Schizosaccharomyces pombe: one gene and its partners. The protein of the gene in region 2 binds, or shares a complex with, the protein of the main gene of each other region. Each region holds a gene or a part of one and is shown on either strand. Other genes may lie near its edges. The genes, in order: rsm7, rsm19, snr1 and nam9.

Region 1 (3,220 bases), 3.1 Mb from region 2:
CTACTAAACATACTTCGTTAAGCTCGAGTTCCACGTCTACCTCCCTATCAGTTCGAAATACCACGAATGTTAAAATTCGTCTCCGTTTACATGAGGTTAGTCTCGTCCTGGTTGTTGCTCATGATATAACATTTGATGAGCTGTTAGCCAAGGTAGAACATAAAATAAAGCTTTGTGGGATTTTGAAACAAGCTGTTCCTTTTCGGGTTAGACTGAAGTATGTTGATGAGGATGGCGATTTTATAACCATCACATCCGATGAAGACGTTTTAATGGCATTTGAAACGTGCACGTTTGAACTTATGGATCCTGTCCATAATAAAGGAATGGATACTGTGTCTTTGCACGTTGTTGTTTATTTCTAAACTAGCATTGTGCTAGCTGTACATTGTCAATTTAATTTATATAGAGGAAATTAACAGTTTAGTCGATGAACTAATTTACTTTCCCTTCTTTGTTTTGAAAAAACAACAATATACTTCATAGAAGATAAATTCTGTAGCATTTCCGTTAACTGAAAAGGAGCTGTAGAAGAATGTTGATGAATATTATGAAAGTTATTTTACAACCAAACTATAACCTCATAAACATGAATATGATTAACTGCGCACTACGTAGTATAATTGAGTTGATAACTAAGAGTAATCAATTCTCGATATACTAGACAAAAATAACATTACTAAAAGGGAATGCAATTCATAAAAAAGATAAAAATGTACGGAATTTTTGTTTTTATATACGAACGGGTGCATTACCTCTGTTAACAAGGCACATTCTGTGCAGATGATCTTTCTTTTTGAAACAATTGCTTGTCTTGCTCCTGATAGCAATGATTTCTTTAACAATACGATCTGATAATCTTTTAGGACTTGATGATTTACATTCACCGAGGATCCATTGTAACGCAATCCTTCTTCGCTGTCGCTCTTTCAATGGCATAGGAAATTCGACACTTTTGTTAAATCGCTTTGCAGAAACCTATCAAAATATTAGCAAATCCGTCTACACACTATAAAAAGAAATAATTCACAAAAAATTCCAAAATTTTCAATAATTTCGACGTACCAACTTCATTAAGGGAGAAATCTCAGCGATTGCTTGTTTCAAAACATCTATAGGATTTTCACCGGTTTCTTTTTGTATGATAGAGAGCGCTGTTGCAACAATCTTTTCAGCTTTAGCTTTTTTCCCATCTCGCATTATTAAATTCACCAAATGCTGTACTGTAGAGTCGACCTGAAATGGTCGATCTATTAACCCTACAATTGAACTTGACGGAGAAGGCCACAGATTTGTACCCATTAGCGGCGGTTCTTCATTTTCAACTTCAATTTTTTTCTCTAATTCACCCATAAAATCGTCGGAGGCAGACTGTTCGACAGAATCTTGAAGTTGATTCAGTAAATTTTCGAGTCCCGCATTATCCCATTGTGGATTTGAACGTTCATTGATATCTTCAATTTTTTCATTATATTTTTCATTTGAGGTAAATTTTCCAACTTGAAAAGTACGAGTCTGATGGATAAAAACAAGCGACTCTTTCATCAAATGTCCCGAACTCGCACATCGAAACAAAGGTTGCTTTATGAGTCGTAGCATGGCCCTTTATTGTTTGTTCTTTCTTCTTGAATGAAATTTTTAAAACAATTACTCTTATTAATCAAAGCATGTAGGAAAGCTAAGGTGTGCGTAGATGTTTAAGCTTAGTACATATACACTATGGATAAATGAAAGAAAAGGGAAGGGAACTAGGCGCTAGCGTGCTACATTTCAAAGTCGTTTGGCTATTTATTTATTAACTTGAAATAAGATAAATTAGGTAATCGATGTTAAAATATTCATCATTAATTGTGTATCCAAATTTAATACTTGAGCTAGACACAGTTTTATTGGGATCATACAGAACTGATACCTTGAAAGAAAGTAAAAAAAAAAGTTATATATAATATACAGAGAAGCGATAAATTGAAAAATTGTAAAAACAAGCATTTAAAACAAAAGAGAGAAATTATGGGACATTAATTAATTGAACATCAGTTTATAACATACTATATTCGTGTCATAAAACGAATTTTAATAAATAATAAAATCTATAAAGACATAAAAACATTAGATTTTGGCCTATGAGCACAGTAATCTAAAAACAGTTTTGATTGTCTTTTGAATCTATAAACCAAAACAAAAGTTTTTTAATTCAAGAGTTGTATAAACAGAAAAAGAGCCATATCCAGCATTTCAATGTTCATTTTTTCCAGCCTTTATGAAGAAAGAACATTAAGTCCAATAAAGAATATATCAATATATCATTAACCTCTATATGGAAAAACAGAAACAATTACCTTTTACAAGCACAATTGAGTTTCCAAAGACATTATCAAACCTAAGCAGGAGGATAAGACATTCGTCTTTGATACTCCGAGATTGACGTATCAATAGAAGTGAGCGTACAGGATACCAACTAATCCTAGTTAATAATCAAAATCTCTACAAAAAAAACTTACCTCATAAACCAGTTTTGGATCAACGTTTTGTTCCTGAGCCTGGCTCGCAATTGCCTCCACCCTTTTTTTCGAATTTAACAGAGCATTCTGAAGGGGGGCCATCGCCTTCTTGTCCGGGAAAGTTGTATTCAACAAGGCATTCCAAAATTGATGCAAAAATTCTATCGTAACGGTATGGCACAAAACAATTTCATTTTTTATGTCAATAGGTAAATTTGATGCAGTGCCGTGGGTCTCAAACTCATGCTTTTCGCGCATACTCTGAGTAAGCTGCATAGCGGCTTCAGCCAAAGAGTCAGAATCATGTTCAATGTGATTTAAGCTTATCGAATCTTCCTGGTATAAATGTTGAAGAGCTTCCAATGAAGGCAAAGGCTCTAAACCAACTTGATTTTTTGAGGGGACAAAATTATTTTCCAATAACTGATCTTGACCTTTGATTTTTAAGACAACTTTAGAGTCACTGGCTTCTTCTTCTAAATCGTGAAAACCAGATTCTTTTAAGTATGTTTCTTCATTTTCGTTGTTAAATCGTTTAGAGTTTCTACAAGTTGTTAGGCATACCGAAGCAATAACAATTAATAAAACCGAATATACATACCCCAAACTTTTTTCCAAAAGTCTTTCCGAAAGCTGATTGATGTTTTTCATAAACGGTAGAGCTTCTTTGTCAATTCGCATAGTGATATCAGGTCTAAGTTCTGCTATTACATTTGCAT
Region 2 (3,468 bases):
AAGGTAACTCTAATACAGGTGAAACTTAATGATCAGAATCCTATTTTATTTTTCTAATGAACTATTCAGAGGCTGTGACCGCGGATCCGTCTCTATTTCCCTTTTTGCTAGAGGCTATAGTAAAGCTAGATAAAGGTTGCTCCATTACTTGTAGCATGTAACGTAAACTTGAACCCCATTTAGCTAATTTTTCGTGTAAAGCAACCCATTCGTGCTTACCAAAGACACGATAGCTGCTACGGTGAATGGATAACGTTTTAGTCAACTGAGACATGCGGCCTTCAACAAGTCCAGCACGAATAACATCAATGATCCATAATTCTACTTCATTTTCATCAATCTTCAAACTCTTGGCTACATCACCATAGGATAATGTATTATTGGGAGCCTGGGTAGCTAATGAAGCAATAGTTAAAAGTTTCATCTTACGTGCAATTGCATCTTCATCAAATTTTTGGTGTTGGCAATGAGCATGGTTTTCGGCAACCCAACTTACATAATCGTCGGTCATCCCGCCGGACAAAATACCAAGTAACTGTAAAGTACTTTGTTCAAGCTGCTGAACGGGTGGAAGGGTGACAATATCATCAAAGAAAAAGTACTTAGGGCTGTTAACAGCGCGTTGAACTAATTCGCGAACCGCCTCGTCAGCAGTTGAGTTGTCCATTTTTACGGCTTCCAAAAGGAAAGCAAATGATTGCTCATCATCGTATGATTGAATAGCTTTAGAAACAAAAATATTAAATGCCCGATGGTCCGATACACTGACACCAGCTTCTTTAAGCCAGTCAGGGAAGTATTTCAAATTAGGTGCAAGAGTGCTAAACAAGGAATAACGGGTAGTGAGAGTAACAACACTAGTAAGAATGCTTAAACGTGCGTGTTGACGTTCTTTGACGGCCGTATTAAATAAAATGCTTAAGACACTGAGTATGGCAGGAGTGAGATTGTTGTTTTGATCGGCAATCTGCTCTAAGGCTTGGCAAAATTTAGAAACATGATCTTCGAAAGCAGCAGATTCTTGGATAAGATTAATAAAGACGGCTAAAATAGGCTCGAGTTCTGTTTCGTGTTAGTAATAGCATGGAAGAGAAAATAAGCGAAAACTTGGAAAGCTGCAAACCAAACACATCAGCTCATAGTATACTTTCAGAACTAACAATATAACAAATGCCCTTTAGCACTTATTAAAATAATTCTTTAATTTCCTAGCCTAAAACTATTTTGCATTACCTTTCTCAGGTGCTTGTGCCAACAATGGCAAGCGAGTCAGAAACAGATTAAGAACTTCTTTAACATTTTCAGAAGCCAAATATTCTCGGCAAAGAGCAAGTACATTTTTATCGGTATTAGCCTCAAGATTATCCAAATACATAGCCAATTCTTCCACCTTTTGAAATTTCGTTAGTTGAAAAAAGTTTTACCAAAAATCGCCGAGTCATTAGCGACATACCTGTTCCTCTACGGAAGAGTCAACTACCAAAATAAAATCAGAGCCTTCCATCTCTGTTATTAATACGAATCTAGCAGACGAGAAATGCAAATATTCGCTGTTAGTGGTAGTTGGAGAGTAGGACTTGGCACCTCCACCTCGTTCAATGGTTAAAACGAAGTGGAAGTAACAACACCAGGTTGCTACCTCACATTTATTAACGATTGCTGCATTAGCAATTAACTAGCTTTCTAACATTTCACCTCATGTTTTGGACTAGTGTAGCCAGAGCTCGGTCAGTCTGGAAAGGTAAATGAATATAAATATACTTGTTTTGAAAATAATTTAGAACCTGTTATTCTGACATTATAGGACCCAACGTGGTCGATTTCGGTGTCAACGTTCAGCAATGTATTAAAGGAAACGTTCCTATAAAAACAGCTGTGCGATCTGCAACTATTTTACCTAGAATGGTTGGGTATGATACTCGTATTTAGCAAGTGTGGACGTTAACTAACTAAATTCTAGTGCTCAATTTATGGTTCATAATGGTAAATCATATGCCAATGTAAAAATTACAGAAGATATGATCGGGCATAAATTAGGTGAATTTGCACCTACCAGAAAAGCATTTCATTACAGACAAACTAAAAATCGGTAATTATTTTGGATTCTTGGCGAAAACTGGGCTATATGGCCTATTCAAAACACTTTTCACATGGATTCATAACTACCAAGAATTTCAAGTCTGCCTCAAAATTTCAATTCGTGACTTTAAATGGAGCTACCATATTAGTATTTTGTAGGACATTTCCTGTAAGAAAGCGAATATATAATTCGCCGAATCTTTTCATTACTTTCAGGCTTTTAATGACAGCACTTCTTCCAATGGATGTACTTGCACGTATAAATGTATGTATGAAAAAGTGATATGATGTTGCATAATTTTCTGTCAATGTTTTACAAAAGAATTTTGCATTCCCCTACTTGGATTTTTTATTTTTAAATTTGAAACGCAATGGCTTATGTGTTTAATGTTATTGGTTGTACTTATTTAGTAGTCTGTATAATGAATAATTAACAGCATCGAAAAACCGAATGAACCCGATATCCCAAAAGAAAATGAAAAATTAATAATTGAAAGGCAATACGAAAAAAAGGATCTTTGGAAGTGTCGTTATAACAATTGAATAACTCATTTCTTTTCGTTTTTCCGACCCGTCTTTTTATCAGCTTTGTTATTGCTGATTTTTCTGTCAGATTGTTTAGAAAAGACGGCTTCGCGCTCGTGCTAACGTAAATAGTTAGTAAATTGACTGAAACTTGAAATCAAAATAATTCATGGAAATACTTACAGCCACTTGAAGTTTAGATTTTATTTTATCGTCAAGCTCATAAGTAACTTGATTGAGAATATTTTGAAGGTCATCCTGTAACAGCAATTAGTTAATGAACAATGAATGTGGAAAATGAATAAATAGATGAAGGAATGCCCATCAATTAAAATCAAAAAGTAAAAAAACAAACAAACCAAATCAGATCAAAAATTAGATTACATGACTCAAAAAGCGCAGCAAGTTCACTTAAAACCTTATTTGTCGGATCTGGTGGTAAAGAGGAACGAATGCGGAAGAATAGGGTTCAGGGCCTTGAAAGTTTATAAACAAGATTTGTAGGATTTATATAGAGAGATATTTATCATCGTAACATCTACCACACTGACTTGAGATTTTTGTTGTTTAATGTTTTTGAATATTACTTGTTGAGTAAATGGAAGCATTTTCAACATCTATAATGAAAGAACATGGATGTGAGAATGAATTACCTTAGTTTCAGCAAATATTTTCCCCTTCTTCTTCCCCTTTTTCTGAATCTTAGTTTGGGGATTTTTAGAAGTGTTTAGCTTGGGAAGGTCCAAATCCTCCACGCGAATTTGCTACAAAAAGAAAAAGTTAGAAAAAAGGGTTCGATTTTACCAGTAAAAGTAAACAAAGAAACATTTAAAGAAGAGAAAAGAAACTCCCCTTTTACATGGT
Region 3 (3,763 bases), on a different chromosome or scaffold from region 2:
CTCAACCCGATCAGGCTCGTATCGTTGCTTTGAACGCCGCCGCCTTTTTGAAAAACGAAGGTGGAGTTGTTATCTCTGTTAAGGCTTCTTGTATTGATTCTACCGCTGATGCAGCTGTTGTTTTTGCTCGTGAGGTTAAGAAAATGCAAGAGGAAAAGATTAAACCTCAAGAACAACTTACTTTAGAGCCTTACGAACGTGATCACTGTATCATCGTAGGAAAATACTTGAGACATCAGTAAACAGAAATATATGCCATAAGTGCATGCTTTTTTAGTTTATCATATAATTTTTTTTGCTAGAAAAGCTTATGGTAAGGCCGTGAGCAATTGGAATAATAAAAATATATTTTGGGTATGCGTTTGGCAGTTTTGTCAATTATTTTCTCATTGTTTGATCCAATATGGGAATTATGGAATATATATTAATGCCGTTAGCATTCTTTTTTTTGAACTATCGTACGCACAGCTACCGAAAAAGAGTTTTAGTATGAGTATTTAAAATGGCTATCATTATTTTTAGCTGCTAAAAAGAGTTATGTGCTTTATCGCATGCTAAAACATAACAGGGTCTTTGAAATAAATCATCTTATTATAATACTGAAAAAACTTAGTAGACATAAAGAACAATATTTAATTTATGTAACCTTTGGGATTATAAATAAGGATAAGTCTTATAATTCCAAAGGGGAGTTTTACGTCTTCCTTTTGCAGCAAAAGATATCCCATTATTGTATTCTGAAGGCAACTTGAAATAGTTTTCTAAATCTTTAAAGTGATATTCATGGGATTTGCTCCATTTTGGATTTTTGGTCTTTGTAATAAGTTGAGCATTAACACCTTCAACAAAATCAGGCTGTTTAAGCATATAATAGGAAACGATATGATCATAGTAAAATGCTTCAGATATACTCCACTTAGCAGCAGACTTAATAAGTCGATTGGTAACAGCAATTGAAGTCGGAGATTTGCTATACAATGTTTTAACGGTAGATTTTGCAAATTCCGCTAAAGCACTAGTGTTTGAAGCATATTCTTTTAACGCACGAATAATATCAACGGTATCATTTTTGCAGAAGCATTTATTAATGACATCCATAACGTCTGGAGTAAAAGTGGGTGGTGAACTGCTAGCAAATTCGGCAAATTCCAGGATTGTATTATTGATTTTAGAAATATCAGACGTGTTTAACTCTGCAAGCCTGTCCTCCAAATGAGGAAACATATGCTTCGGAACGAAATGAGTTGCAATTCCAGTACGCAGGCAATCATATCCTTTTACGATTTGAGATGTCAATCCCAGATAAGTTCCAAAGTATCCTGGTAGTCTACTGAAGAAGAAACTGGCAGCCACGTCAGTAAAATAGCCAATTCCGGTTTCTGGCATAGCAAACATCGTATCTTCACACGCAATACGGAAAGGAACATGCATAGCCAAACCAGATCCACCTCCCATGGTGATGCCATTCATCAAAGCCACAACTGGTTTCTGGTATGTAGCTAACGTATGGCTTAATCGATACTCTTGAGCAAATGCATGGCGAACTTCAGGTAATTTTCCATCTTGTATTGAAAGTGCTGCAGCTTTAATGTCACCTCCCGAACTAAAAGAGCGACCATTTCCTTTAAGAATAATTACCTTGGCCAGATTTGATTCTTCTAATGAAACTAGCTTTGGTAGGATTGAATCTATCATGTCAACGTTGATAGCGTTCAATACTTTTGGCCTGTTTAAAGTAAATATCCTTGCTCCATTTTTACTCTCGTATAAAACTGTATCATTTGAGGAAGTGCTATAAAATTTTGGATTTCGAATAAACGCTCTAGACATGGTGCTACTTGCATTCAAAGAAAGGAAATTTGACACACTTGTTTTAAGTAAGGATTGCCTTAACATAAATCCAGATTTTTTCAAATCGTTAGAGATATTTAATTTCAATCCCATGAAAGCTAACCAAGTTAAATAACACCGATTATTTTTGCATAGACGGTTAACGTCTCTTCTACGTTACTTTATAACGAAGTGTGTTCTTAATTGTGAACTAATAACAAATCACAAAAGACCATTCGTAAAACAAAGTAGGTTTCCATGCATTAGCTGGGCAAATACTTGTCTCAAAAAATCTATATTTAGTATTAATTTAGTTTCTCAGGGTTTGTCGATTTTAAAAGTCTTAAACCACTTGTTGCATAGCATTGAGTACTCAAAACTGTTATTGTAATACACAGGTGCTATTTGCAACAACAATTTAAGGTGTCAGAATGAGCAAATTCCAAATATTTAATGTACGACATCACATAGTATAAATAATTATTTCTTCTATTTTAGGTAATGAATGAGATATCATTAATTTATCTAACAGTATACAGTCATAAAGTTCCTGTTGCATAAAACAACGTAATTTAATGAACTCGATACTTTACGCTTTACGATACTTTTGAATGCACAATATGTTATAATGAAATGCATTGTGATACTTAGTACATTGTGTTAGACTAATTGAAAGTAAAATACATCCATTCTTCAGGTACTAGTCGTCCATTTCACAAACTAATCAGAATGACAGCAAAAATGTTGCACTTGGTGCGATATAAATTTCCGTCGTTGGAGCCCGCGAGTCTTTTTCTTATTCCCGGAAGTTTCCTGCAAGAAAGATTTCGTCGAGATATTTTGCATCGTGCCGTTATTTATGAAGCAGATAATGACCGTCAAGGCACTGCTAGCTCAAAGCGCCGAAATGAAATTACTTGTTCCGGTCGAAAACTTTATCGACAAAAAGGTACAGGACATGCACGGGTAGGCGATGCCTCAAGTCCTATAAGAAGAGGTGGTGCTAAATCACATGGTCCTAAGCCTAGAGATTTCAGTACAAAATTACAAACCCAAGTTTATAATTTAGCAATGAGGATTGCGCTAAGTACAAGATTTATTAATAATGAACTGACCATCCTTGAAAATCCCATCAACTTAAGTCAACCAAAAACACGGATTTTGCTTGAAGTTTTGAAGCAACACAAGTTAGGACACGAGTACGGGAAGGCACTTTTTGTCCTTAACGATAATTACTTTGAAGATGAGTCCCTTAAAAATAATAATTTATTGCTTGCATCTAGACAGTTAGGCTACCATTGCTCCTTTATTCCTGTTGGTGAGTTTCAGGTTCGAGATGCACTAAAATTCGGTAAACTATTTATTGATTCTGAAGCCATGTCGTTAATTGTAGAGAAGTTTGCTCAACGAAATACACTAAGTGATATGGATCAACCTGCTTCCCTGACTGCTTATGTTGATGCAAATAGTAGTTCTTTTACGAAATCAAAACCTGAACCGTCTTTATCTCTATGATATGAAATAAACGCATATCTTTCAATTGTTTTTGAATTTCATGAATCTACATTTTCCGATTTTGGTAGTTACGGAAACATTATAATCCACAATCATTAATTCTTTTTTCAATCCTTTCTCTTGTCGTGTTTAAATTTTTTAATTTCGGCTTATTTAGTTTACTGTCTTGATTAGTTACCTCTTGGTTAACAATGGCTGGCATGTTCCGTATTCCTATTGCCGTCGTTCAGATTGCTGCATTTGTGCATCAAATTCATGAGTATCTTTTTCAAGTGCAAATGACATCGGGTCCAAGTATGATGCCAACATTAAATTCTGGGTATTGAAATAACGCTTTGTATTTATGGTTCTAACTTAAAAAGTGGTGAATTCGTTTTGTTAGATAAATTGCATGGTAGGTTTGCTCGTTCATGTTCTG
Region 4 (3,630 bases), on a different chromosome or scaffold from region 2:
CATAAAAAATAAAAGCTCACTCACATTTTTTATAAATTGGCATGAAAATATGATCAATTAGTCCATAAATCCCAAATATTTCTGCTATATGTTCTTTAGTGACATTACGCGTCAAATTTTCCACAAGAATCTATTTTGCATCGTATTAGAAACGATTAGTATGCCTTAAATAACTAATTATACATGGAAAACGTACTGTTCGCAATGGTTCTTCTGGAGATCTGGAAAGCGAACTCGAGTAAGATCTATTCGAGGAAAAAGAATCACGACTACTAGACCGATGTGAGAAATTGGAAGAACGCGACGCTGAACGTCCAGATGGAGATCGGGTATTGTTAAATTGTCTTGTTGAGCTACGTCCACGATAAAAGGCCTCCTTTTGGTACATGAAAAAAGATGTGCCAGTTCTTGTATGTGTATAAGATTTGGTTACGTGGATAGCAGTAGACAGGGCAGTTACTTCATAGAGCAGGAAAACAAAAGTGGAAATCAACATAGTATTACAAAAAGCATAATTGAGAATGTTTTATATTTTATTACTAAACTTTTGAGAGGAGTTCATTTATTCGATTTATACGAGTTTCGTCAACTTTCCTTGACGAACTGGATACCGATGAGAGAATGCTTCTTTGGGAGAAACATTTCGTTTTTTATATAATTCAGGAGGTCCTTGATAAAATGATGCATCGCGTACTTTCTGCGGAATAAGCCGTCTGGCCTGACATCTAGCTGCTCCTTGCCGCATATTACGACTTCTGATATAGTATGTATAGGCTAAAGCGTGCAAGTCTTCAGGAAATGGAGAAGGAACTTCCGTTAAGCCAGGACGAGCAACTGGATCACGCACATAAACAAAGGAACAAGTGCGGAAGCAAACTTCTAAATAAGCAGGGATAAATGCCATTAGTGACATAAACGGTTTAGGAACAAAGTTGGAAATTGTTTCATTGATAGAGGGCAACTTTCCATTAGAAGTCTGTTCAAATAAATCATCATCATTATCCTTTTTTTTTTCATTTTCTCCATCCTTAGAGGACACCTGTTCAGTTTGCTTCCCATCCTGTATAGAAGGGGTATTGTTACTAGAGGCAGAAACACAATTCATTACTGATTTTTGATCAACAGTTACTAAATCACCAGGTAAGAGTTGACGATAGGCACGGCGTTCAGGTTTTCCGTTTACGTGCACTTTTCCATGAAGCACCAGTTGGCGAGCCTGTAAAGCGCTAGACGCAAATAACGCTCGATGAATAGACATGTCTAAACGGGATTCCAAAAATGCATAAGTCTGATTCATAAAAGGGATGGGAAGCTTATTATCTAAGGAAGAAATAACCCCCTCCAATTTTGGGCGGAAGGCATTTTTCAGTTGATATTCGCGTAATTGAGGACCATGATAAGACCTTGTTTCCTTCTTCGCATTCCATTTTTTTTGATATAAAGTTCTATTATTCAGAGCAGGTAGTTGTTTTCTTGCAATGTTGTATATATTGTATTTGTTCCACGACGGACGCAAAAGCTAGATATGTATTAATAAAAGCGAAAAAATCAATAATTTCATATATAACATACACCGCGCTTTAAAGAGAACCTAAATTTCCCCTTCATGAGCAATTAAGTCTTTGTCACGAGAGTCCAATCTTCCAGCGTAGTGCGTGAAGTTGATGGTAAATTCATAAAGGTGATTAAAGAGAACAAATTTTTAAAAAGGCTACTTTTACTCGAAAATTCAATTAGTAAATTTTATTTATTTAAGTTTTAATGCATTATAATTTGTACCAAAGCTAGAAGGTGCTTTACTATTTTCTGCAAAACAGCTGATGATGAGCATTAAGTTCCTCACGGCTGGCAAAGTGCCTCAGCCTGCAGCACAATTTTTAGATCATGGGTTTTTGAACTAAATTGATTTACATTAGTATTTCATTGTTACATAGAGTATTATCTTCTGCAGCCAGGCTATTAAGTGCAAATATGAACTGGCAGAAGTTAGCTCATAGCGCTACCTTCCTTATTAAACAAAGGAGAGCTGGACAGGACTTGCACAGAACCACACACCAAGTTTCAAGAGGCGTATATCTCTTTCGTTTTTGGTGATTTTGATACTCATTATTGATTTTTTAGTATTAAATTGCTATTATGATTTCCTCTGCTGTCATTCTGGTCGGGGGTCCATCTCGGTACGTACCAACGAAAAATAAGTCTATTAAACGCGTGAATATCAGTAACTAATTACTTTGCAGTGGTACCCGATTCCGCCCTCTTTCGTTTGATGTCCCTAAAGTACGTCTTATTTAGAATTTATATGTTGGTAAAATACGTAATCCAGTTTTACTTTCTAGTTGCATTTGAAACATAAGAGCTATTTTGCTAACTAAATTAGCCTTTGTTTAAAATTGGAGGACGAGAAATGATTTACCATCATTTGGCGGCTTTATCCAAGATTGAAAGTGTTAAAGATGTCTTTTTGGTTGGTTTCTACGATGAAAGCGTTTTCAAAGATTTTATCAACGAAGTAGCTTCGCATTTCCCCAGTTTCAATCGTATCAAGTATCTCCGTGAATACAACTGCTTAGGAACTGGTGGCGGCTTATACCATTTCCGTGATCAAATCCTTAAAGGACATACTTCTAATGTTTTTGTTATGCATGCGGATGTGTGTTGCAGTTTTCCCTTACAAGAATTGTTAAACGTTCATCACGAGAAGAAAGCTTTAGTTACTTTAATGGCTACTAAGGTTAGTAAAGAAGATGCTTCTAACTTCGGTTGCCTTGTAGAGGAACCAAGTACTGGGCGTGTACTTCATTATGTTGATAAGCCAAGCTCCTATCTTTCAAATATTATTTCATGTGGTATTTATATCTTTGATGCCTCTATATTCGATGAAATCAAAAAAGCGTACGAGCGTAGACTTGAGGAGGTCGAGAAGCAACTCAGGTCCTTGGATGAAGGAATGGAAGACTACCTCAGTTTGGAGACCGATGTGCTTGCTCCATTGTGCTCAGATTCCTCTAAAGCCATTTATGCTTATAATACTCCTGAGTTCTGGCGTCAAATAAAAACCGCTGGCTCTGCTGTTCCTGCTAATTCCTTGTATTTACAAAAGGCATATCATGATGGTACTCTTCCAAAACCCGACACTGAGGCTGAGATCATTCAGCCGGTTTTTATTCATCCTAATGCTATTGTTAGCAAAGGTGCAAAGATTGGACCCAATGTTTCAATTGGTGCTCGTGTTCGCATCGAGGATGGCGCACGTATTCGAAACTCAATTATTCAAGAGGATTGCGAAATTTCTGCCAATGCTGTTGTTTTACATTCCATTCTTTCCCGCCATTGCAAGATTGGTAAATGGTCTCGAGTCGAAGGTTCTCCAACTCTTCCAAGCCAGCACTCCACTACGATTATGCGTAACAGCGTTAAAGTCCAAGCTATTACTGTTATGGGCGCCGATTGTATAGTCCATGATGAAGTACGCGTTCAAAATTGCCTTGTACTTCCTCATAAAGAAATAAAGGTTGGTTTGGTTGGTGAGATTGTGATGTAAGATACTACATTTAACCTTGCAGCAAACTTGCTTTTTATTATATCTACTTGACTCTCCTTTATTATATAATATACATTTATTAGCTG

The links.
Region 1: rsm19 (region 2) and rsm7 share a complex: the UniProt entries of both Schizosaccharomyces pombe proteins name them as parts of the mitochondrial small ribosomal subunit.
Region 3: rsm19 (region 2) and snr1 share a complex: the UniProt entries of both Schizosaccharomyces pombe proteins name them as parts of the mitochondrial small ribosomal subunit.
Region 4: rsm19 (region 2) and nam9 share a complex: the UniProt entries of both Schizosaccharomyces pombe proteins name them as parts of the mitochondrial small ribosomal subunit.

Annotation. Positions count from the first base shown.
Region 1 is NC_003424.3:3,518,162-3,521,381, forward strand, and holds rsm7 (mitochondrial 37S ribosomal protein uS7m), read right to left. Parts: upstream 1,681-3,220; 5' UTR 1,600-1,680; coding exon 1,066-1,599; intron 979-1,065; coding exon 733-978; 3' UTR 553-732; downstream 1-552. Other genes in the region: RhoGEF Scd1, read left to right, coding at 1-365; transcription factor TFIIH complex subunit Tfb1, read right to left, coding at 2,381-2,458, 2,502-3,045, 3,103-3,220. UniProt on the Schizosaccharomyces pombe protein: Component of the mitochondrial ribosome (mitoribosome), a dedicated translation machinery responsible for the synthesis of mitochondrial genome-encoded proteins, including at least some of the essential transmembrane subunits of the mitochondrial respiratory chain.
Region 2 is NC_003424.3:384,380-387,847, reverse strand, and holds rsm19 (mitochondrial 37S ribosomal protein uS19m), read left to right. Parts: upstream 1-1,677; 5' UTR 1,678-1,698; coding exon 1,699-1,741; exon of another isoform or gene 1,742-1,804; coding exon 1,805-1,910; exon of another isoform or gene 1,911-1,960; coding exon 1,961-2,093; 3' UTR 2,094-2,627; coding exon of another isoform or gene 2,628-2,723; 3' UTR 2,724-2,787; coding exon of another isoform or gene 2,788-2,862; 3' UTR 2,863-2,962; downstream 2,963-3,468. Other genes in the region: tif313 (translation initiation factor eIF3m), read right to left, coding at 62-1,062, 1,234-1,390, 1,454-1,504; pre-ribosomal protein Loc1, read right to left, coding at 2,628-2,723, 2,788-2,862, 3,258-3,368. UniProt on the Schizosaccharomyces pombe protein: Component of the mitochondrial ribosome (mitoribosome), a dedicated translation machinery responsible for the synthesis of mitochondrial genome-encoded proteins, including at least some of the essential transmembrane subunits of the mitochondrial respiratory chain.
Region 3 is NC_003423.3:2,979,243-2,983,005, reverse strand, and holds snr1 (mitochondrial 37S ribosomal protein mS47 ), read right to left. Parts: upstream 2,005-3,763; 5' UTR 1,945-2,004; coding exon 655-1,944; 3' UTR 566-654; downstream 1-565. Other genes in the region: fib1 (fibrillarin, rRNA and histone methyltransferase), read left to right, coding at 1-242; yml6 (mitochondrial 54S ribosomal protein uL4m), read left to right, coding at 2,560-3,345; mmp1 (endopeptidase catalytic subunit), read left to right, coding at 3,537-3,664, 3,708-3,763. UniProt on the Schizosaccharomyces pombe protein: Component of the mitochondrial ribosome (mitoribosome), a dedicated translation machinery responsible for the synthesis of mitochondrial genome-encoded proteins, including at least some of the essential transmembrane subunits of the mitochondrial respiratory chain.
Region 4 is NC_003423.3:3,727,681-3,731,310, forward strand, and holds nam9 (mitochondrial 37S ribosomal protein uS4m), read right to left. Parts: upstream 1,670-3,630; 5' UTR 1,609-1,669; coding exon 1,573-1,608; intron 1,520-1,572; coding exon 572-1,519; 3' UTR 515-571; downstream 1-514. Other genes in the region: rns1 (putative RNA-binding protein), read right to left, coding at 25-130, 197-388; mpg2 (mannose-1-phosphate guanyltransferase), read left to right, coding at 2,137-2,177, 2,241-2,280, 2,381-3,544. UniProt on the Schizosaccharomyces pombe protein: Component of the mitochondrial ribosome (mitoribosome), a dedicated translation machinery responsible for the synthesis of mitochondrial genome-encoded proteins, including at least some of the essential transmembrane subunits of the mitochondrial respiratory chain.